4 linked regions of the Arabidopsis thaliana genome follow. The protein of the gene in region 3 interacts with the protein of the main gene of each other region in a pairwise test. Each region holds a gene or a part of one and is shown on either strand. Other genes may lie near its edges. The genes, in order: AT5G11870, AT2G41610, AT2G43420 and NRT2.3.

The links.
Region 1: the proteins of AT2G43420 (region 3) and AT5G11870 interact in a protein complementation assay, tested with the Arabidopsis thaliana proteins (one large-scale study listed by BioGRID).
Region 2: the proteins of AT2G43420 (region 3) and AT2G41610 interact in a protein complementation assay, tested with the Arabidopsis thaliana proteins (one large-scale study listed by BioGRID).
Region 4: the proteins of AT2G43420 (region 3) and NRT2.3 interact in a protein complementation assay, tested with the Arabidopsis thaliana proteins (one large-scale study listed by BioGRID).

The regions. Positions count from the first base shown.
Region 1 is NC_003076.8:3,823,407-3,829,093, reverse strand, and holds AT5G11870 (Alkaline phytoceramidase (aPHC)), read right to left. Parts: upstream 3,675-5,687; 5' UTR 3,375-3,674; coding exon 3,215-3,374; intron 3,106-3,214; coding exon 3,006-3,105; intron 2,936-3,005; coding exon 2,815-2,935; intron 2,442-2,814; coding exon 2,320-2,441; intron 2,217-2,319; coding exon 2,095-2,216; intron 2,017-2,094; coding exon 1,857-2,016; coding exon of another isoform or gene 1,853-1,856; exon of another isoform or gene 1,759-1,852; coding exon 1,731-1,758; 3' UTR 1,521-1,730; downstream 1-1,520. Other genes in the region: AT5G11880 (Pyridoxal-dependent decarboxylase family protein), read left to right, coding at 28-177, 289-450, 542-727, 824-946, 1,021-1,110, 1,208-1,288.
Region 2 is NC_003071.7:17,344,876-17,349,473, reverse strand, and holds AT2G41610 (uncharacterized protein), read right to left. Parts: upstream 2,318-4,598; 5' UTR 2,294-2,317; coding exon 1,361-2,293; 3' UTR 1,235-1,360; downstream 1-1,234. Other genes in the region: AT2G41600 (Mitochondrial glycoprotein family protein), read left to right, coding at 2,704-2,886, 3,144-3,481, 3,706-3,877.
Region 3 is NC_003071.7:18,030,115-18,037,869, forward strand, and holds AT2G43420 (3-beta hydroxysteroid dehydrogenase/isomerase family protein), read right to left. Parts: upstream 5,069-7,755; 5' UTR 4,823-5,068; coding exon 4,576-4,822; intron 4,426-4,575; coding exon 4,336-4,425; intron 4,259-4,335; coding exon 4,125-4,258; intron 4,039-4,124; coding exon 3,868-4,038; intron 3,726-3,867; coding exon 3,609-3,725; intron 3,514-3,608; coding exon 3,434-3,513; intron 3,029-3,433; coding exon 2,836-3,028; intron 2,748-2,835; coding exon 2,645-2,747; intron 2,277-2,644; coding exon 2,102-2,276; intron 1,947-2,101; coding exon 1,790-1,946; intron 1,710-1,789; coding exon 1,643-1,709; intron 1,531-1,642; coding exon 1,379-1,530; 3' UTR 1,154-1,378; downstream 1-1,153. Other genes in the region: FPA (RNA binding protein), read right to left, coding at 606-875; GLX2-1 (glyoxalase 2-1), read right to left, coding at 5,455-5,601, 5,688-5,786, 5,859-5,933, 6,252-6,352, 6,597-6,720, 7,024-7,227, 7,325-7,507.
Region 4 is NC_003076.8:24,448,430-24,454,350, forward strand, and holds NRT2.3 (nitrate transporter 2.3), read left to right. Parts: upstream 1-2,315; 5' UTR 2,316-2,409; coding exon 2,410-3,240; intron 3,241-3,437; coding exon 3,438-3,553; intron 3,554-3,654; coding exon 3,655-4,327; 3' UTR 4,328-4,535; downstream 4,536-5,921. Other genes in the region: ABCF1 (ABC transporter family protein), read right to left, coding at 5,331-5,921. UniProt on the Arabidopsis thaliana protein: Involved in high-affinity nitrate transport. Acts as a dual component transporter with NTR3.1.

The sequences.
Region 1 (5,687 bases), on a different chromosome or scaffold from region 3:
AGCTTTTTCTGTTTGTTACCATTTTAGGTGCATCCATATGTAGCTACTGGGAACAAGAACTCGAAGTTTGGTATTAGGAACGAGAAGCTTCAATGGTTTCTGGATGAAGTGAAGGCACATCCCAAAGAGCTGAAGCTTGTTGGAGCTCATTGTCATCTTGGTTCTACCATTACAAAGGTAACTCCGACTATAGTTCCTTTTAATTTGTGTTTTAATGTAATCAATCTCTTAAATTTTAACTCTTGAGTCTTGAGCTTTGCATATTCACGTATGTTCTGTTTATTTCAGGTGGATATATTCAGAGATGCTGCGGTTCTCATGATTGAATACATTGATGAAATCCGGCGTCAAGGCTTTGAGGTTAGCTACTTGAACATTGGTGGTGGTTTAGGGATAGATTATTATCATGCCGGCGCTGTCCTTCCTACACCCATGGATCTTATCAACACCGTAAGAACAACAGCTCAAAACTCTTTTCTTTATCTTGATCTCAAAAGTACTGGAATGGTAGAATCTTTAGAATCCTGGATGTGTTTCATAGGTAAGAGAGCTGGTTCTTTCACGAGACCTGAATCTAATAATCGAGCCAGGGAGATCACTGATTGCAAACACATGTTGTTTCGTCAACCATGTAACTGGTGTGAAGACGAATGGAACTAAAAACTTCATAGTGATTGATGGAAGTATGGCTGAGCTTATCCGTCCCAGTCTTTATGATGCCTATCAGGTAAAACAAATATACTTTTCACAACAGCATCTGCAGATTCTAGTCCCTTTGAACTATAGCTAAACATCCTCTTGTTTTTGTTTTTTAACGCAAAAGCATATTGAGTTGGTCTCTCCTACACCGCCTGAAGCAGAGGTTACCAAATTCGATGTAGTGGGTCCTGTTTGTGAATCTGCTGATTTCTTGGGCAAAGACAGAGAGCTTCCCACTCCTCCACAGGTATTATAAGGATCTGATTATGTTTGGCAGCTCAAGTAATATGGAATCTAATTAGTTTCTTGTATACGTTACAGGGAGCTGGTCTGGTGGTTCATGACGCTGGTGCATACTGTATGAGTATGGCTTCCACTTACAATCTCAAGATGCGTCCCCCGGAATACTGGGTAACAATACTGTTTCTTATTATCGTTTTCTGCGGAAATTTAGCGGAGGGTCAAGATCCTGAGAGAAAGTGATTGATTTATATTCTTCTTTTTGCAGGTTGAAGAAGATGGGTCGATCACTAAGATCAGGCATGCTGAGACATTCGATGACCATTTACGTTTCTTTGAAGGACTATGAACTCCGAGATTTACTCATCATTGTTGCTATTTTAGATGAATTGTATGATTACGTTTCTATAATGCTATTGCTGTCTTGGATTTTTCCACATTCTGTGCTATGATTTAAAGTCCTCAATAAAGTGATCATATGAATAAGAAACAGGTCACAAGTCAAGACCGAAAATAAAAGGTGTATTTGTGAGTTATGATTATTCTTTTGGTTTCTTTTTAGTTACTACATGTAAAATTGTCCATTGTCCAAACACATATATAAGACTTGAATAAGTAACCTTAAAGCCAAAGCTGTTTCAGAACCAGAAACCAAGATTACACCAAGCTAACGATGTTTTAGTGGGATCATGGGTCAAAATCTATCTAGCAACCAAACAAAATTTGTAATACAAGAATCCAGAAGCATCTAAATACAAGAGAAAAAAAACTTGAGGAGTCAGTAATGAATGTCAAGGACGGCCTTTGAGATCACCTAATCTGTTTTAGTTTCCATCATACAAAAGAAAAGTGAAAAATCCTCTCAGGTTTCAAGGAACTCAAAGATCAAAGAGAAAGAGTCAGTGAAAAAACGTTACCTATTAAACCGAATGCTTCTATACAAAAGCATAATGGTAAGTAAAAGCGTAGCCACGGCAGAACACAAATGCTCCAGTGAATGCCCACTGATGATATATCGATTTGCATTGTATATTTTGTTGTCTGCAAGTCCTTCAATCTTGGCAATAGTGTACGCCGCTGCATTCATGATAAGCAGATATCAGAAGACCGTGGATTCTAATAAGAAAACCGCAAATGTGGTTTTGAGTTAAAAACCTGTTGCCCAGAGCCAGAATCTAGAGTGTGTATATTTGGGAGGTAACAAAACCGCCATGACGGGAATCACCAGACACGGTATCAACTGGAACGTCATGCATAACCGGAGATCATTAAACACTCTGCCATCAACTAAGACACATATAATTTCAATCCGAAACCTGACTAAAACCATGAACATATATGTATACAGAGGAGGTAATGCTTTCTTGGTTTTAATGTTACCTGGCGTAAGCAACACTGAGACATGATATAAATAGAAGCAAGATGAGGCAACTAAGTCCCACTTTCTCCCCCGCTCTCTCAACCAAAAAACTAGAGAAAAGCGACGAATACGCAATCAATATCTGCAATTTACCGTCATTAATCAACAAACAGCTATTCATAAACCAACCATCAAAAATGATGAGCAAAAACAACTTTCCATTCAATAAAACCAAAAACCACAACTCTACACCCGAAAAATCTCTAAAGCTTCTTTCCATTAGCTATAAGAGTTGTGTTCACTTCACTATGTGCTTGTAGAACCAACCAATCCAAGAAAAACCATGAAGTCTAATCTAAGCTTTTTTACATAGCTATAAGATGATTCTTCAACTTTTTGTATTCACAATGTGCTTGTCAATATATACAATTACCGCATCACTAATCAAGAAGCAATGAATGCATAACTGAAAGAAGATTCATGTTCCGAAGAAAAGTAAAGTGAGAAAAACGAACAGGCAAAGTGTCCCAGACGATTCTGTTGTCATCAGGTTTGAGATGATAAAAAGCAGAACCAAAAGCCAAGCTTGCAATGCCTGCGTAGAACAGTGTCCATCCCCAGATCTCACCATTTAAACTGCATTACAACAACTCAAATTGTTAAACTAACTCAAAATAAAACTCAAAAAAGGGAAAGAGAATGATACCTTATGTTGAAGAAGCTTCCTCCAATGCAAAGAACAAAACCAAGAACTCCAACGATAAGAAAGGGAAAGTTGGTCATCACATTCAATGTATTAGGCACTCCTGTTCATCATCAAACCCACACAAAACACCTGTCTCTCGTTATTACACATGCACAGAGACAGAGAGAGATAAAAAAAAAAGAAGAGAGAGTGTGATATGATGATGATACCCATGAAATTGCGTTTATCGGCGAAGATATGATGGCGAAATGAATCGAGAGGAACTTTGGGAGTGATGAACATGATGATTGACCAACAGAGGAACGATCCCACAACCAAAATTCGTTTCCTTTTCCATCTCCCTATCTGTTGATTCGTCAACCACACCATTAAAAGTTCTCTCTATAAAGGTGAAGACTTTAAAGGTTTGTATTGTTTGAAGTGGATAAATCAGTTATCTCTGTTGTGTCTGATTGATTAATCTTCTTCCAGTTTAAGAAAGAAAAGGGAAGACAGATTTATTGAGAGTCGCTTTTTTCGATTAGAACAACGTGCGGCGGAATCTCTTTTTTTCTTTTTCCTTGAGTCTGACGGGTACGACGACGACGATCGATCTCTAATGTTGTCGTAGTTGACGAGGACCGCTCTAAACGTCTACGTTTTGTTTCTATTCTATTTTATTTGTAAAGTAACCCCTTACATTTTTATATCTTATATATATCCCACCCCATGTTTCTGAAAGTAATATTTTCACTCCTATATATATGTACAACGTTTCAAAACTTGGCGGGAGTGGTTTTAGTTAACTGTTTCCTGGTTAGTGTTTCTAGGAGAAGGAAAAGTTAACTAAGAAAATTGCTAAATTATATATCCTTGATGTGTTGTTGTAGTTCTTAGAAGTAACCCACATAGATAGCCATGTATGAAACAAAAACAAAAATGGGATTAACATGAGACAAAGTTCAAAAGAGAATGAACTAAGAGTCTAAATGCTCTTTATGCTACAAAGTATTCAAGAAAACGAAAGAGTATAAGAGAAAGATGGGGAAGAAGATGAAACAATCATATGTATTCTCAAATTACAAACATATATTCTAAAGCTCAAATTGGGAACGTAAATATATCAATGTTGTTTTAAGCCATCATGTCCTCTCTGAATCATCCATTGTGCCATGCTTGAATACAAGTTTGATGTTGTTCATTTCTTTGAATAATATTGGCAGGTTGAGTGTTTTTCAGTTTGTGTTGGATCAAATTGTCTTTTATTTGGATTTCGTCGTAAACATAATCAGCAGAACACGTCATTCATGTCATACCTCTTAATCTTTTATGTGTTTGGTAATAAATCTGCATAATCATGACATGAAACAACATTCCACAATTCTATATAGCATTCTAGCTATAACCAATGAAAAATAGATCATCCTATATATAGTAGTACTAAACAAAGATTATTCTAAACCAACTTAACTTGTAACATCAAATCTAATCAAGTCACATAATCTTGTATAATTTCATTTTTCAAAGAAAATATTCAAAAGTCTTCAAAACGTTTTTTTTATTCCAATAATCCATAACATGCATGTTCAATTTGTAAAAAACAGAAGGTTCCTTTTTAAGAAAAAGACACTTCTCTAGTTCTCTACGGCATCGTTGTACTATCCTCCAACCGGAGATGACGTCATCATTTACCGGCCTAATACTCTTCGAATGTTTGGGGTTTAGTTTAACAAATCAAAAACTATCGAGGTTACTAATGAAATATTAATAAAGTATGAGGGCATTTAAATGAAATATTTCATTGCTTATGTAGACTATAGTCGTCTGTCATTCATTTCGAGCAAATATTTTACTCTTTTATTTCGAAGAGAGAGAGAGAAGAAGACGGAAGCTAGAAGAAATCGTTTTTGATCGGAGGTACTTTTTTCCGACGAATATACTCTCTCTAGGGTTTTCTTTTTTCTCTCTCTCCCTCTCCGTTTCTTCTTCTTAGCTCTTCAATCTCAGCTCGAATTTCTGGGCTACTGAAGTTTAATCTAGGTGTGCGCTTCGTTGAAGAAATTTTGAAATTTGCAGAGAAATTTGCGGAGAAAGCGGAAAGATTAGATTTATCCATCGTTTATCCCAGTAAAAAGCTTTGATTTTTCCACATGTCTTTTTTCCCCCCTTTTTTCGTATTAAAAGCCCTAGATATATATATCAAAATTGAAAATTATCTGAAATCGATTTCGTGGGTTTCAGTTCCGGTTCGGTTCTCTTTCTTAAAATATTGATTTCTGTCACTTTCCGCGATGAAAAGTTTTCGAATTTTGCTTCTTTTGGCTCCAAAGTTTTTATCTTTCAAATATTTTAAATCTGGGTACTTTTTTGTTTTGGTTCCTTCTTTGTGAATTGTATCTAGGGCTTTGCTCCTTTTCTAATCCAAGATCTGTTTTCGTTCTCAGATAGTGTATGAGCTAGTTGTTTGTAATTTGACGGCTCTCGGGAACTGATCTATCTCCGGTGTCTCTGCTTTGTCGGTAGCTACAGGAGTGAAGAGAGTTTCTACAAGGTAAATTTGAAAACTTTATCATTGAACCTTGTACTTGTAGATTTATAGTAGTGTTTGGGTATGAATGTGAATAATGGTCAGATATTGAAATTGTGGAGTAGTTGCATTAGGCTCTGAGTTCTGTTGTCTAATTCAGTTACAAGTTGATGTTA
Region 2 (4,598 bases), 690 kb from region 3:
GAACAAACTCGGTGTACATAGACCAAACCAAGGCGGTATCAACTACTAATACCCTATCAGGAGAATCCAGACTCTCCATATCACACCAATATAAATTTCTCTTAGTGCTCTTCTTACTAGATCCTTCACCATACTCTCGGTGAAGTACTTTGAGTGCATTTTTGCTTATAAAGTTGTTTCTGGTATAAATCATAATAATAAAATAAAAACTAATTTCGCACAAAAATTCACTTGCGTACTTGATTAACAAAACCTTCTATATATTATTAGTGTTTGAGCAAATTGTTAGGGCTAGAAATATTTTTTTATGTAGACTAATCATTGATTGACAAAAAAAAAATTAAAAATTTAGACTAATCATTTATAGTTTACCTAAACCTACTTTACGCCGGCTTATGGTTGAATTCTACGTGGATTTAAGCATAAGTTTACAATAGCCATAGTAATTCGGTAAGTACATGCTTTTGGGTCCTTATCATCTCTATTGGTGTGGTCATATCTGAATAAGCAGAGCTACTACGGATCACGAATCTCTTCTTCTCGTATGTTTTATGTTTAAGTGAGGTTCGATCTAGAATCTCATCAATTAATATCAATAAAAGTACACCCATGATCAATGAGAACTCATGTAACAATAATCTCTGTTCGTAGGTTCTTGGGGATAAATTAGTCATCGGAATAGCATACCAGAGATCGACGATCTCATTAATCATTATGTATAAGTACAAACTTCGTAAAACTATCCAATGCTACAAATAACAATACAAGATAGTACAGTGGTACCACCTAATTATTGATATAATTCTATGACTTCTGAACTTGAATATGTATGTATGTATGGTTAGTCATATATTTATAAATCTAGGAATTTTATTTTCTTAAGGTTAATCTTCTTTAACAAAGTTTAAATCTAAAATTTAACATTGCATCGCAGTATATATACTAGCTGTAATATAATCTTGTTCAACATTAACATAACCAATATATTGAATTAAAAAGCCAAGACTTATTTATGCCTAGTAGAAGTAAAAAGTCATTTTTTTGTTCGGGTAAAGTGATGAACCAACTCAGAAGGCTTTCAAAAGCAATTTCCTAATGGAATATCTAGCAAATTAGCAAGTGTTACACCACTTTTCTATTTCTTCTTGTTTAAAACTGTAACCACTATCTTGCGTCATCTTGACACTACTACTTCTCACTGTTTTGATTTAACTATTTACAATAAGGATAAATATAAATAGATATAGAAGTAATGTTTAAGTTTTACCATTTCATCATCACATCCAATATAAACTCATCATTAAGCAATCATTTACATTTACTTCATCTTGCCTCTGATTTTTCCTTTTTGTTTCAAATTTCATGTGTCTGATGTCTTCTTACTCTGTCTCCGACTAACCAAACAACATACTTTTGTGATTACATAAACACATATCAACAGAAGAAGAAAACCAAACACAAAAACCCTAAACAAGATAGGCTCTTCAACAGGAGACATAACGGCCAAGTACACACAATCTCTTATAAGAACAAGCAATGTCAGTCCTTGCACAACATTTTTAACCACCAAAACTCTTTTATTTATTCCTTCTTCTTTGCATAACTTGCATATAATCCTCAAAAACAAAACACCAACCACCAAGAACGTTGTACTAGACCATCCTCGGTAAGAGACAATCTTCCCTCCCACTATTAATGGCTCTTTCCTGCATATACAAGACTTGCAGACTCCAGAGAAAGTAGATGTGACCAGAGCATCGAATCCTGTATAATAGGGGAGAATCACAGCGTCTAAGTAAAGACTAGCGTGGAGAATACCAGAGATAGTAGAGGCTTCGAAGAAGACAAAACTCGCTTCTTTTTCGATATTGTTCTCAAATAAAAGCACTGAGAGCTGAACAAGCTGTAGTATCGCAGGTCCAAAGATGGAAATTGGGAAAAGGGTATTGATCCTTTGACCTTTTGCAAGAATCAAGATGATCAAAGGAAGAGAGATTGGACCAGAAGGAAGTAAGTACCTTCTTGCTTTGTCATCATCACCATCATCATCATTTTCTCTTCTTCTTCTTGATATTACCTTCCTTACGACAACAATTAGCGTCGTCAAATAAGTAACCGTAACGAAGAAGAAAACTAGAACGTCGGTGATTTGAGGGTAGTCGCCGGCATAGATGCTGTCGCAGAAATAGTGGAAAGGACAGTTAATAGGATCAAGTGTGTCCTCGAATTGCCACTTTGTGCATTTGAAAAATGTTTTCTTTCTATCAGAATCCATTTCCCATTCTGAATTCATAATTTGTTTGTTTTTTTTGTTTTGATCTATATGTTTTTGGTTTCCTTAGAAGCTACACATATAGTTTATAAGGAGTGTGTGTGACGTGACATCATCATATGGTTGATTCTCTTTCATTGTCTGGTTATAGATGCTTGAACTAAAATGGATAATGAAACTCTATCTGAAATCTGAATTCTATCTTCATTTTTTGTTTATTAATACAAAAAATCACCCTTTGAATGAAACTATGTATTGAGAGAAGCCTTGATCTTCAAGGGAAATAAAAGTTTGGTGTGCAGCTGATGATTGATTGGTTCTGTGTAATTGTTAAATTGCATGATTACGTAACTGAGAATTCGGTTTAACCGTTTAAATTCCGGTCTACTGAAATTGCTACGGAAATAAACCGAATTAAACCGAACCGGATCATGATTCAGTCTACTTTAGTTTTTGTGCTCCGTAGATTGAGAGAAGCCAATTTTAGGGAAAAGAGAGAGATGAGGAAGTTGAATCCGCTTCTGAAACGAGGCTTGAAGGCTATTGAAAATGGTGATTTGTTGAAGATCCTCCAAAGTGAAATTCGTCACGAAATCTCCCATCCTCGTTTCCAGGTAAATTGTTGTCTTCCTCTTTCCTTCTTCTTCTTCGTTGCTCTCAGTAATCTCTCAATTGAGTTTTAAGATCAATGGTGCTCAACATTAGTTCGATCAGACTCTGTCAGTTTCAATTTCATTTTTCTGAATTGATGAACATTAGAGTGATTTACCAGATGGGCGAATTTGAATTTGATGTTGGATCTCATAAACCCTAGGATTTTAAGTACTTACATTCTACCTTTATGATTTTGCTTTGTGCTTGAACCCCACAGGGCGTTGAGACCGGTTCTCTAGGAGATTTCAAATTGGATTGGGATTCACCGGAAAGCCAAGATATTGTTCTGAAGAGACAGTTTGATTCAGGCGAGAAGGTTGTGGTCTCTGCTTTATTGCAACCAGAACCTATAGAACTAGAAGATGATTTAGTGTTTCCTAGGGAAGCTCATGCCAAAGTTTGTATCAAAAAGCCTGGTCTCAGCTCTATCTTGCAGTTTCATTGCCGGGTTTACGAATCAGGATCTGGATCTTCTCATTTCGACATCGAGAGCGCCTACTTTATCCGCTCTTTTGTTTCTGCTCCTTCTTCCACTTATGGAGACCATTTTTTCAGGTGAAGTAAGCTCATAAATGATAATCTCTCAACATTTTGTTTAAGTTACTTGAATCATATCTGTTTTACTTCATCCAAACCTCAAAGCATTGGGTACACTTCCCATTGTTCTTTCCCTGGAGTAATTGTTCTATATATATTGAAAAAGAAGTAGACTATTAGAGGTTCATGTGTCTGCATATGTTTGATTTCAATGACCAGTGTTATTTTCTTTGTTTCTTTAGCCAAGTAGATCCCAAACTACACAGTGCACTGGAGCAATACCTAATATCTAAGGGGGTCAGTGAAGGCTTAACTAATTTCCTTTTGTGTCACCTGAACAAGAAGGAGCAGGATCAATACGTTAACTGGTTACGCAGGCTTGAATCAACTATGTCACATTCTCCAAAGCCGTGAGTGTTTACTCCATAAGCTCATTTCTTTTCAAGTTTTGTTTTTGGAACAATGGTAAAATGCCTTAGGAGTAGTATTATTAGCTAAGAGAGTCCTTGCAATGGATGTTTTGAGGGAAGATGTATCGACGAATACATGTTAACTGTAATATTTCCAACAAATGGGACCCCAAATCGTATGCTTTTGAATTTTCAAGCAAGCTTGGTTTGATCTTTGATCTTTCAAGATGATTAGTCATGAGATAGTGAGTAGTAATCGACATCTACATAACCACCCTCATTCATGTATTTATCTTTGTAAATCAATACTTGACCTATAATGTCTTTTGATCTTTCTCCGAAAGGACTAAAAAGTGAGAAAATGCAATAAAAAAAAATTTACGAACAAAAAAAAGGCAAATGAGAGAGAACAAAAATTCGGAGCACGCAGCGTCAAGCAAGCATCACTTAACACTAAAAAGAACTTATGTTAGTAAAATTATTCTGGAAAAGATAAATCAGTTATTGTGTGAATACTATAGTGTTAACGTGACATAACATCATAGGAAAACGATAAAAAAAGCATAGATCTTGAGGTATCTTTTTTTTTTTTTTTCTCTCTGAACTGATATCTTTTCATTGATAACATTTTAAGTTCTTACAAAAAGTTGATCAGTGGACTTTCCACTTAAACATAAAAGGCAACAAGCCTATTCCAAACTGAAACATAAACTAAGACAATGCTG
Region 3 (7,755 bases):
CAGGAAACTGAACTTTTAAACTCCAAAATTTCTTATCTGTTTGGCCGATGATAGAGTTTGCTCGCTTCCAAATTTTCACCATTGCGAATTTCGAGTGGAGTACGCAATACATTCATACTCAAGCTTGTGAGATTTAACATCTGAAGCGAACCTGAAATCAGACTGCTAAACGCGGATACAAGTTTGCAGATAAACGACAATCGGATTAAACCTTCTTCGCATAAACGAGAGTAAACATGTGTTTGATGTATTCTTTTGCAGAGCTCATTCGCTAAGAGTTATATATGCTTTAACATCAAATTTTGCAGAGCTTCTCTGTGGTTTGGCTTTGCGCGAGTTCGATATAACCAAAGTAATTTGAGAAAAGACGTTTCGATCGGATCAGGTTTCGCCTTAAGCTAACGACGTATAATAGAAAAAAACTAGGTTTCGACTTTGATTTGTACGATGAGGAAAAAAAAAACAGATTCAACAAGAAATTTTTGGACTAAACAAGCATCATCAAAGTTTTGTGAACCTGGACTATGAATTCGCAAAAAGAGTATAATCGTTGACAAAAGACAATCAAAGTTAGAGAACAAACGAAGATATAGATAAGAACAAACCGGTCGTGCGTATTCGATCTTAATTTGACTTCCATTCAAATTTGCTCCTTGAAGAGCCTCTTTGGCTGCGACTGCTTCCTCCACATGTCTGTAGTATATAAACGCAAAGCCTCGTGAAGAATACACCGTGATTCTATCAATATCGCCGTATCTTCCAAACAACTCGGTCAGATCTGACTCTGTCGTCTCCGGCGTTAGGCTACCGACCCAAAGATTGTTTGACTGGAAACCGGAATCATCGGCTCTGAATGGCTTCATAGATAACGCCATCGGGATTGTTTCAATTGACGATCCTATGGATCCAAAATTCCAATCCCAGAATTGATTGTTTTACCTTTGGGATTATGAGATTTCGATTATCCACGTGACGGAAAACGAGAGACGAATTGTGCGATGATACGTTGAGCAAGAAAAATTCGATGAGAGATTTGGGTGTTCAAAATCCTACCTACAGAGAGGAGAAGAGAACCCTAGATTGAGTTTGAAGACGAAGAAGATTAGATTGTGAGAGAAAGAGAGGCCAGGGAATATCGAAGCGGCGGCTTTTAAAGGATATATAAGGATACTTTCCTTTTTTTTCTTTTTTTTTTGGAAACCGGATCAAAACGGTGCATTTTGATAGTAGTTATGGCAAATTCGTAAATAATCATATATCCATCCCCTCTCAGTGAAGATTACATCCTGATAGCATAATGTTTGTACATAAGACATCTAATAACTGCAATTAGTCTCTGGGATTGTTGGTGTTCGTTTAGTGGAGGACTTTGGAAGCTTCACATGAACATTGGTTTAGATGAAGCATCAGAAACAGGTATCACCATCCTTTTAATAAATGTTAAGCATTCGACGAATATCCGGGCTAGGTGGTAGAGCTCAAGCTCGTATTGCTCGTAGATGAAGAAACCGGTGAATGAGAACGACATAACTGTCCAAGCAAAGCGTAGAGAAAATGTTATGGATAAAGAAGTTGTTAATCATGTTTATGAAGTTGTTAATCATGTTTATGAAGTGTGAAAACAAAAGCTTTGTTCGAGTACCTGTGAAAAGAAATGCTGCCAATGAACGGGATACAATCAGTTTGAGGAGATACAGTGATCCTGCAATCTGTTTTTATGTTTTGTTTTAGGAAACGAGAGCAATGAGATATTTTTCATGTTTGGTGAGCATAAAGAGTAGAATTGTACCTTGAAGAACTTGATCCAGTCTCCTCCACTGCTTAAGGATTTAAAACTGCGAACTCCTTGATTCCAGACAACTACGATATCACTACTAAGATCTCTCACAGCGGATTCGGAGATCTCAAATCTCCATGGGGGTATTTTGTTGACTTGAAACCCGAAACTGTCAAAATAAATCAATCTGTCACTTAGTTGCATATAGATTTCAAAGGTGAAATATATATACATGGGTGCATCATCCTTTGATAGGACAATTTTGGTATCACAACTTATTTTCACTGCCTTCTATAATGGTAAAGTTCTGGAACCAATACTTACATCTTTGACGGCACAAAAGAGACTCCATAGAGAGCAACAGCAAATATAAACAGAAGTTGGGCTGCAGATGAAGTAAATGTGTTTCCAGAAAAGAAGAACCAGTAATAAAACAAGTTTAGGACAAGAAAAGAAACGAAGGTTTTCTTCTCATTTCTCCACAGCAAGATGTCTGCAACTGCATGAGAACATAGAGATGAAAAGCTAAGTCAGTTTAAAGAGATTAATATTAAAAGCTTGCATTGACCAGATTCGCTTTGAGTTTGTTTATATGTGCATGAAATAAAGTTGGAACTCGCATGAAATTACATGGACTGGAAGAAGATGTAAATTAACCAAGCAGATACTTCAGCATGTTCTAGACATCTAGAAGCAAACAAATCTAAGTTGAAAATAGAGATAGATTCTTTCCAGGTTAAGCCTTGTGAACATGCATCATCATATCCATAGCTAGATGAGATGCGGACTTCAAGCAATACAACTGAATACTTAGCCAAGAACACTTCAAAAAGGCATTATAATTGTTAATAGCGAGATGGTTCTAACCTTTCCCACAACCAAGAAGCTGATCTGCAGTAGATTGAATGATTGTGTCATCAGACTTCTCAAGATCCCGAGAGAACCATTGAAGCGTTGATGCAATACCATCCTACAAATCCAACAAGAGCTAATAAATCCAAGGAAGGTACTAAGCAGCTGAATATGCAAAAAGCCAAAATACTATCCAACAAACTCACTTCAAGTGTCACAACAGGTGTGTAACCAAGATGCTTCTTAGCTGCATTGCAGTTAAAAGTTCTCGTTGATGAAGCTAACAGAGCATACTGATGTGCTGTGTCATAATTACTCCCAAGGCCCTCCTTTTCATGTGTCCACTTAAGAAGTGAGAAAACATACAAAACCAGCCGAACAGGAAGTTTAATGGATGGTCTGCAATTAAAGAGGAAAAAAAAATATCAAAACAGGTAAACCAGAAAGTTAGCTCTAAGGATCTAAAACTTTTCAAAATGATCAATATTTAAGACATAGGAGAAGGAAACATATACGACCATGTATAAAATACTAAATATCAGCGAATCACCATGTATAGATAGTTTATATCTAAAAAAACTAATTGAATATGGCTGTTCTCGAAACGGTTCTTCTAGACATGTCTCCAGGACATCTATCAACAGAAAATTAAGATCTTTTGCTTTAAGAAGGGAACATTCAAGGTAGGTTCAGAAGTTCTGAGGAGCCTTTTTCCCATGCTACATTGATAATCAGGAAACAGAAAGATAAAAGGAGTTCACAGCAAGTTTCATTGTATCAAAAACTGTTCGGATGCTTATTTACCTTGGGTATCCCAGACCTTCAACTATATGGCTTACAAAGTCCCAAAATCTGACCGGCTTGAGGTTTGTGATAAAAAATTCCTACATAAAGTCGGCACAGTAAAAATTCATCACATATAAAGTTCATGCGCTTTCAGGAGTGATTTGGCAAATACACTTTGACTCAAAGAGGTTACCTTTCCAGCCACAAACTCCATCTGTGAATCTAATGCTTTAACGGCGCAAATATGTGCATGAGAAACGTTCTCCGAGTAAGTGAAATCAGAGATATTTTCACCACTCCCGAGTATAAACTGAAATTTTAAAAACTAAGACAGTCATTCCTCCAAAAAAGGAAAACTAAGAATGCATCAAGCTCAAGGAATACTACCAGGTATAATAAGATAATAAACGTAGACGCAAAAACGCAACAATGGGATGAACTAATAGTAAGACCTTTGCATATCCGGACTTGGCTAGATTCACCAAAAAAGGTACAAACTCTGTGTCACCAGGTCCAAATACAATGCTAGAGCGAAGTGCACAAGTTAAGAGACCATCTCGGTTGTTAGCCAATTTGATCAACGCTTCTGCTTGAGCTTTGAAGTCTGTCAACATAGATTGGAACTGCAAGAGAATCAGAGCAAAACAGATATCATCTCTGAAAAAGACCAACGACAAAAACCAACTAAACAAACATGCTCAAGGATTACCTTCAAAGGACGTCTCAAGGATTCATCACCATCACGTATAGGTTGGGAACCATCAAAAACAACATCAGCTGTACTGTTGTAGATAAGTTTTCTGACTCCAGATTCACGACAGGCAGAAATCACATTTCTTGTACCTATACGAGAAATCGATTAACCACCCAAGTTTAACTAATATAATGGTAAACCATCTTGAAGTGACTAAGAACTTTACCTTGAACTATAACCTTGTAGCAGTCAAAGTAATCATGGGAACGTAAATCAGTAGCTCCCATGTAAAATACAACATAGGAACCCTCGGTAACTGCAAGGAACAAAACAGTCACACCAAAACTCAAATCAGAACCCGAAAATCTCAAATAGCCAAACACTCCCCCATAGCATTTTCTAGATACCAAAAACCGATCCATCAATGTCATATCTAACAAAGTGCAACAGGAAATAAGAGGAAAACCTTTAACGATCTGAGGTTTATCACGAACATCGACGCAGTGATAAGAAGCGCGGCCGGAGGAGAGAGCATCCTCGAGGAGCGAATCGGATTCATCAAGATGGAGAGTGTGACCGGAATCTGCGACTCGGACTGTCCAGTTTCCGAGACGAAGCAATCTGGAGACAAGCGATCGACCAATGAACCCTCGTCCGCCGAGGACGACACATGTCTTGAGGTGAGAATCGCCATGGACGGAATCTTCGTCCATTGTTATCGCCGAATTAAACCCCAGCTCTATCGCCTTTTCTCGGTCGAGTCAACTCAGAGAAAAAGGCCGAGTCGAGTTGGATCAGTGCACAAAAAGCTGAATACTAGGGGTTGCTTGGCGGGCAGACTCTCCACTCGCGCAACCTTTTAGCGTTTTCCTTTATTCTTCGGCTGTGTAATTATAATTTAATATTCACACTTTTTTGCCATAAATCTATGGATTTGACTTAATTTATGTAAATTATCTGTATAATTATTCCTTGGTTACAAACAAATCTAGTAAAGCTAATATTAAATCGTAGACGCACGGTTGCGTTTTCACGTTTGGTGAGCCAATTCCATCAATCCACCAAACATATGATTTCCATTGTTAGAAATTTGGTAAGCACTTGTAGAGAGAAACTAAACCGTATCTATCTATACACTTGTGTATGTATGTTGAAGCATTCATTACACTTGAAAATCTCATAATTTAATAATTGAGTTTAAACTAAATATTTAGATTTTTTTGTGTTGAATACACAACTTCAAATGATAACTGAAGAAAGCCCAAAACATATAAAATATTGATCTTTGCAGCTGATGATTGACTTGCAAATTTTTCTATACAAATAAGAAAATATACCCAAGTTTTCAGAAACGATCTCTGGCTCTCTGTATACGACGCAATGCTTCAGCTTCGGTTGCTGAGTCTGGAATGCTTAAAGATTTTCGGATATCTTTGCTCGATATTCTGAGGAATGGGTTACACGCTTTCTCAACCTTGACAGTCGTTGGAATCTACAGACAACAAATCCGTAAGTAAATGAAATCTAGAGAGAGGTTTAGAGAGAAAGAGGAGATAGGGAAGAGATAAGAGGTTTTACCGATGGGAGCCCCTGGCTGCGAAGATGGGCGACTCGAGTTGCATAGGACTGAAGAGTTTCATTCTTTGGTTCTACGGATAGAGCAAACTTGAGATTGCCCTGTATCATGGAGGAGATATAAAAGAGAGTTGAACAATGTGAATTAAGAGTATTTATGTGCGTGGAACTTACTGCTGTGTTTTCACGGCCGCAGTATATATTTGTATCGTCTGGTAGAGACACGATCTTTTGGAGTGATGAAAGCATCTGAGTCATAAGGCAAAAAAGGTTTTCTCGTTAAAAAGGACAGAGCACAATAAGTTTGCTTCTGTGAAAGAAACTACAATGTACGGTTATTAGAGTACTCCCAAGTCCCAAGTGATCTCTCCATAAAGTCTATACCATTTGACTCAGCACAGTTTGCCACAAGAAAGTAACCATAACAGTAAAAAGATATGAAGGTTGAAAAAGAAACATGATTTAGAAAACCACAAATCACTTGGCACAATTTTTGCCACAAGAAAATAATCATAACAGTGCAAGGGTCGAGAAGGTTGAAATATTGCTTTTTGAAATTGATGTTACCTGCTCAGGGGTACCTTCTGAAAGGGTACCACAGGATAAGCTATATATCAGGTCTCCTGTGAATATTGTCGCTGACCCGGGAAAGTAGAAGCTAATATGGCCTGCTTGAGAATAAGTACAGTTAAGTGATAAAACATGGCACCAAGTATACATTAATTACTAGTTGTACTACACTAGAACGATAAAAAAGGAGAGCAGTTACACAGTAATGTATTGAGGATAACAAATTAGAATGACAAATAAGATACTAATATGTGATCCACCAAAGGTTTCTAACGTTGGCAATATTTGACTGTATAGATGTGTTCTTAGTATTTTACAGTAGAGGTTATGGCAGCTACAAACCTTGTGTATGGCCAGGAGTGTCAAGTATCCGAACCTCATGGCCAGCAAACATCCACTTATCACTATCCTTCAGAAGTATGTCAATTCCAGGAATCCGATCTTTATCTACAGCTGATCCAATCACCTGTCGGCAACATAAGTCACATAAAAACACTTGAGTATATATAAAAGAAGCAAAAACGAAAAGAACAACTCGACAAAGGTGCAAAACAAAAAGGTCCAAAAAACCATTTTTTCTGGTAAGACTAATACTTTACGACATCTCAAAACCAAACCATTGTATTGTAGAGCTCAATGTTTCACAGCTATCAGAGGCAAGAGACACTCCAAGGAAACAAAATAAAAAGAGGGCTAACTTGCGCAAAGAGCAGAAACAACACAAGAAACAAGGTCATACAGTTTTAAACAGAAAATAGTATCCTCTTACCTTTGCGCCATACCTTTCTTTCAATTCAGCATTCCCCCCAATGTGATCATCATGATGATGAGTATTCAAAATGTAAGTTAAATTCCAATTCTTCCTGCTCAATGCTTCTATAACAGGTGCAGCCTCAGAAGGATCAACGACTCCAACTGTTCCGGTGTCTTCATCGTGCAACAGATAAGCATAGTTGTCCTTACTGCAGGGCACCTGAAACATCTCAGTAAAATAGATCGTTAATAATATCTTCAGCAGATTGTTACAGAGTTGTTTCAACCAGTAGATTCAAGATGAAAAGCATACTAACCAGTTCGATTTTTAATGAGGATGGCATGTTGGAAATGCTACAAAAGTGAGTAATCTTAAGAGTTTTTCTAGCTCCACGCAATGTTTTCAGTGGCATGGATAATAACCACATTACTCCGTATAATAAGCTTTTCCTGAGGCAAAGTTGTCTCAAACCAGGCCACACACAAAGCTGACCTCCAATCTGTTTCATGAAATTCAATCAACAAATCATAATCTGACACAAAATAGTACTATAAGATAGCCAAACAAAGACTACTAAACACAGTTGACAAAAAAAAAAAACCCATAGAAGCTTATAATAGATAATTCAACCGCCAGTTTCACCAAACCAGTCAATAGCAGATAGTAATTGAGCCTTATGATCGAATCAGTAACACTAGCACACATTCAAAGGAATCCACAGAAACAATTTTCCAGCACACAAACGAA
Region 4 (5,921 bases), on a different chromosome or scaffold from region 3:
AAATATTTTTTTTGTATAGCTTTTTGCTAGTGCTAACGTTAAGAAATTCTCAACATTGTTTGTTTTGTCTGTTAAAGTTTTTTTTATATACAAGGAGTTCCACTAAATAGTATTATGAATAATAGATAATTAAGTTTTAATTATGGTAATTTGATGAAGAACTAGACTCTATTTGCATTGTAGTTTTACGTATACATGAAAAGTAGAAGTCTACCAAGTTGAGCAATAAACATTCTATAAACTTGAGAAGTCAATGAGCCAATAACTCCTGTAATGAAAAATAGTTAGAGACAATTTTTTTTGTTTGACCTTTCCACAATTTTCGATTCTTAACCTATAAACATTGGACTTTTTTAGTTGCCTTCCCCTACATGTAAAAACAATATATATATACATTTTTGCAGCCATTTTGTGAAATAAATTCTAGAGTTGGAACTTATTTACAATGGCTGCCACTGGATTTTAATGTTTGTTTTTGATAATTAGAAAAAAAATCTTCAAATTAAATATTTGACATTTAACAATCTTCCCTAAATCTCTCCACATTAACTACACGGTTAGTTACTAAAATTAAACTTCCAAAATATTTAATATCATTTAATTACTACACAATTATCATTTTTGATATTGTTTTTCTCCATGACTATAACAATTCGATTATAATCATCAAACCGTAGAGATATTTGATAGCATTTAATTACTACAAAATTATAAAATATTTAGACAATAATTCATAAAAATATCATAAATAAGATCAATATTAATAAAATAAATGGTTTTTTTACGGGACGGGTTGGCGGGACGGGTTTGGCAGGACGTTACTTAATAACAATTGTAAACTATAAAATAAAAATATTTTATAGATAAATACAATTTGCAAAGTTTTATGTATAGTAACTTTAAAAAATAAATTGTTTCCGCGGTGTACCGCGGGTTAAAATCTAGTATATATATATAGAACTAAAACCATTACAAAAAGAAAAGATTTCGCCTTTTTAATGATGGATAATTCTAAAGCCTATAAGACTTAAACTTTTATTTAAAATCTACAGTTTGTTGCCCAAATAAAATGTGATAAGTATAGAGATAACAAAATATAAAATTATTTCTTACCAAAAAAAAATATATATATATATATATAAGACTATTTTACCGTAATTTATTGATGATTGCAGACAATACAAGATATCTCTAGTTTACAAAAATATCATCAACAATATTCGAGAGAATAGTTCTTTTGAGTATTTGCGGATGGCCGGAAACAACAACACTTAGAAATCATATTTAGTAAAGAATTATGTTTAGAGTTTAGACTTTATAGCTTATATATTATATTGAGATGATAGATGATTATAAGGAAAAACATAAGGAAGTCAACTTATCATAACGCTTCATTGTAAGGATATGCGAATATCAAAGGCGGAAAGATTTAGAATAAGTGAATAACCCATAATTTCATAAACGTTAGAGCATTTTTTTAGGAAATTATTTTAAGATAGCAATTATTTCATTTGGTGAGTCGACCACATGGAATCCTCAAGAGACAAATGAAAAATAATTAGACTTTTTGACGATTTTTGCCTTCATTGATACGTACGGCCTCTTAGGCTTTTTAGCTATTTCCAATGCCAACTGTCAACATTCGTATCTCTTTCGCCATTTTAGTGAAATTCCACAAAGTCATTATCTTTGATGTATATAACTTGCCAGGCTGCTACTATACCAAATAGATTTATAAATATTATTTTTAGATTTCTTTTCCATACTTTTTAATTCTCAAACGAAACTTTATGCAAAGTTGAAATAAAGTTTTCTTCTGCATTTCACTTAAAATTATAATTTGTCAAACAGAAGTGCAAACATTGATTTTCTGACTGAAAATTTTTCAACCTTACAAAAGTTGCTTGAACTTTGTTTAGAAAAAAGAAAATACTAATACTTGATAAACCCTCACGGTTCCTATTTTAAAACCAAAACCTTCAAATCAAAGACTCAAGAATCAATTCATAAATGTGTGAGACAAAACTCATAACCCAAATATGGTACACGTACGTATGAAACGTACTTAAATGCTACAAAAGAATAATATGTTTAGTTCTCAAATTTAAATAATTTTTTCCTTCTATCATTACTAATCAAAATTACAACTCATATCTATACTAAATGCTATTATCAGCTAACAATAATAAAATTTTCACAAATTGGTAAAGTCCTTATTAACTTTTACTTATCTTATTCAAATCTCATTATTGGACCCACCTAACCCTACCCACCATATGATATTGGTATCCCCTCTGGCCTCTATATAAACTTTGCATTTCTCTAATCTCCAACTTACACCAACAAAACACAACAAAGACCATTAGCCTTCTCTCCCACTCAGAGTCTTTCATCTCACTCTCGCCTTAAATGACTCACAACCATTCTAATGAAGAAGGCTCCATTGGAACCTCCTTGCATGGAGTTACAGCAAGAGAACAAGTCTTCTCTTTCTCCGTCGATGCTTCGTCTCAAACAGTCCAATCAGACGATCCAACAGCTAAATTCGCCCTTCCGGTTGATTCCGAACATCGAGCCAAAGTGTTCAACCCACTCTCTTTTGCTAAACCTCACATGAGAGCCTTCCACTTAGGATGGCTCTCATTCTTCACATGCTTCATCTCCACCTTCGCGGCAGCACCATTAGTCCCCATCATCCGCGACAACCTCGACCTCACTAAAACCGACATTGGAAACGCCGGAGTCGCATCCGTCTCTGGTGCCATTTTCTCAAGGTTAGCCATGGGAGCGGTTTGTGATCTCCTCGGTGCACGATATGGGACTGCCTTCTCCCTCATGCTAACCGCCCCAACCGTCTTCTCAATGTCGTTTGTGGGTGGCCCTAGCGGATACTTAGGCGTCCGGTTCATGATCGGATTCTGTCTCGCCACGTTTGTATCATGCCAGTATTGGACCAGCGTTATGTTCAACGGTAAGATCATAGGACTAGTGAACGGCTGTGCAGGCGGGTGGGGTGATATGGGCGGTGGAGTGACTCAACTCCTAATGCCGATGGTCTTCCACGTCATCAAACTTGCCGGAGCCACTCCGTTCATGGCCTGGCGGATAGCTTTCTTCGTTCCCGGATTTCTTCAAGTTGTTATGGGCATTCTCGTCCTCAGTCTCGGCCAAGATCTCCCTGACGGTAACCTAAGTACCCTTCAGAAGAGTGGTCAAGTCTCTAAAGACAAATTCTCCAAGGTACTTTTCTATATATATATATTTCTGTCTCATCTTCAAATATATAACAAATCCAGACCAAGAAGAATATGGCTCTCATTAAAAGAATCTTGCAAACATTAAACATACTCATGAAGTTTTGCAATAAATTCGTGAAGAACTATTTCGTTTATTTAGTTAAATAAATTTCTAGTGTCTAAAGGTTTTTCTTGTTATAGGTTTTCTGGTTTGCTGTGAAGAACTACAGAACATGGATTTTATTCGTTCTTTATGGATCTTCCATGGGAATTGAATTAACTATCAACAACGTTATCTCCGGATATTTTTACGACAGGTTCGATTTCTTATTCGTTAAAACCCAACTGATGAACTTACTTACTTCTGTCACAAGGTAATAACCTTAATTTGTTTTCTTGTTCTCTACGTATTTATCAGGTTTAACCTTAAGCTTCAAACAGCTGGTATAGTAGCAGCCAGCTTTGGAATGGCTAACTTCATCGCCCGTCCCTTCGGTGGTTACGCTTCTGATGTAGCGGCTCGGGTTTTTGGCATGAGAGGCCGGTTATGGACCTTATGGATCTTTCAAACCGTAGGAGCTCTTTTCTGTATCTGGCTAGGTCGAGCTAGTTCACTTCCCATAGCAATCCTAGCAATGATGCTCTTCTCAATCGGTACACAAGCAGCTTGCGGAGCCCTCTTCGGAGTTGCACCTTTTGTCTCGCGCCGCTCTCTAGGGCTCATATCGGGACTAACCGGCGCAGGAGGAAACTTCGGGTCCGGTTTGACTCAACTGCTTTTCTTCTCATCAGCGAGGTTTAGTACAGCTGAGGGACTCTCATTGATGGGCGTTATGGCGGTTTTGTGCACACTCCCAGTTGCGTTTATACATTTTCCGCAATGGGGAAGCATGTTTTTAAGACCGTCGACCGATGGAGAAAGATCACAGGAGGAATATTATTACGGTTCTGAGTGGACGGAGAATGAGAAACAACAAGGATTGCACGAAGGAAGCATCAAATTTGCAGAGAATAGTAGGTCAGAGAGAGGCCGGAAAGTAGCTTTGGCTAACATTCCAACGCCGGAGAACGGAACTCCAAGTCATGTTTGAAGACAAAACTTACAAGAGATTTTCCTTTTACATTAAATCCCTTTTTAATAGTTTCATACTCCACTCATATATGTACCGAGTAAGACCTTTTCTGTGATAGGTAAGGATCGATGAGCTTGGTACTTTAGTATAAATTATTGTAATGTCATCAGAATGTTCAACTACTCTTTTTTCTGCACCAATAAGCTTTATGTTCAATCAGATTTACATGTCAAGTGAAAAAAACAAAAAAAGTCTCTGTTTACGGTGTGTGAAATGCTAAGAGAGTCCACATGAAGAAAACTTTATGGACAAGGACCACGGAAGAAGCAATTGAATGAGTGATCTTTACATCACAGAAACGGATCTCATCGAAAGAATGTAAGAAGAGTATGAGAAAATAATAAACTACATAGATTTTCGAAATATTGATTCAGAAGATTAATATGTTATTTTTTTCCACTCACACTACTCATTTTACAAGAGATACTCCAGAGATTTTATGTGCAACTCTGTAATTTGATTCAAGATTCCTTCACTGGAATCAACATAAAGATGGAATATCTGAGTCACCTTTCCAACGAATATTCGAATATAATTATGAGAATATTCGAATATAATTATGAGAATATTCCCACTTTAATATTAAATATAATACCATAATCGTCAACATCTCAGTCTTTAAAAAAACAGAAAAAAAAAATCCTACAATACCACCAAAAAATATTACTTTTCTCTCTGTTTCGCCTTCAAAAAAACGTTCAACAACAATAACGAAAAAAAAAGAAGGTGCACATGATAATGATAATACTAATATAGAAAGAATCTCTGACCTCTTAAGGAAATGCAGAGATTAGTGAGTATGGTTTCTCTGTCTCTCAAGTGTGTGGCTTTAGAACTCGTTAAAAACCATTCCCAAACCCATCAAAAAAACCAAAGCCTTCCCTCTCTCTCTCTTAGCATGTGACCCCAATCTGAGTCTTTTCCATTTTCCATCAAGAGAAGAAGACTCGACTCTCTATCTTCAATCTTCAAGTCCGGCTTTAGCCTTAAGGTGCCTCTTGAAGTCCATAATGTCACCATTCCATTTAGTGATGCATTGTTTCTCGCAAACCCATATCTCATGAGCCACTTGGTTGATCAACCTGAAGTCGTGACTAACCAGAACCAAACCACCATCCCACTCATTCAATGCCTCAGCAAGCGAGTCGATTGTCTCGATATCCAAATGGTTAGTAGGCTCATCAAGAAGAAGCATGTTAGGCTGCTTATAAGCTAACCACGCAAAGATCACTCTGCTCCTTTGTCCGTCAGATAGATTCTTCATTGGCATCACTTGAGCCTTACCAGTTAGACCAAACCTACCAATCGCAGCTCTCATTTTCTCCTCTTCAGTACCCGGGAACTCCCTCATCATGTAGAGAAGTGCAGGCAATTCCAAGTCTAGCTTCTCAGCCAGATGCTGATGGTACTGAGCAATCTTCAAGTGGTTGTGACGTCGCACCATTCCTTCAGTTGGGTGCAATTCACCAGTCATGAGCTTCAAAAGTGTACTCTTTCCAGCTCCATTAGGTCCCACAAGGGCAACCCTCGAGTCCAAGTCGACACCAAAGTC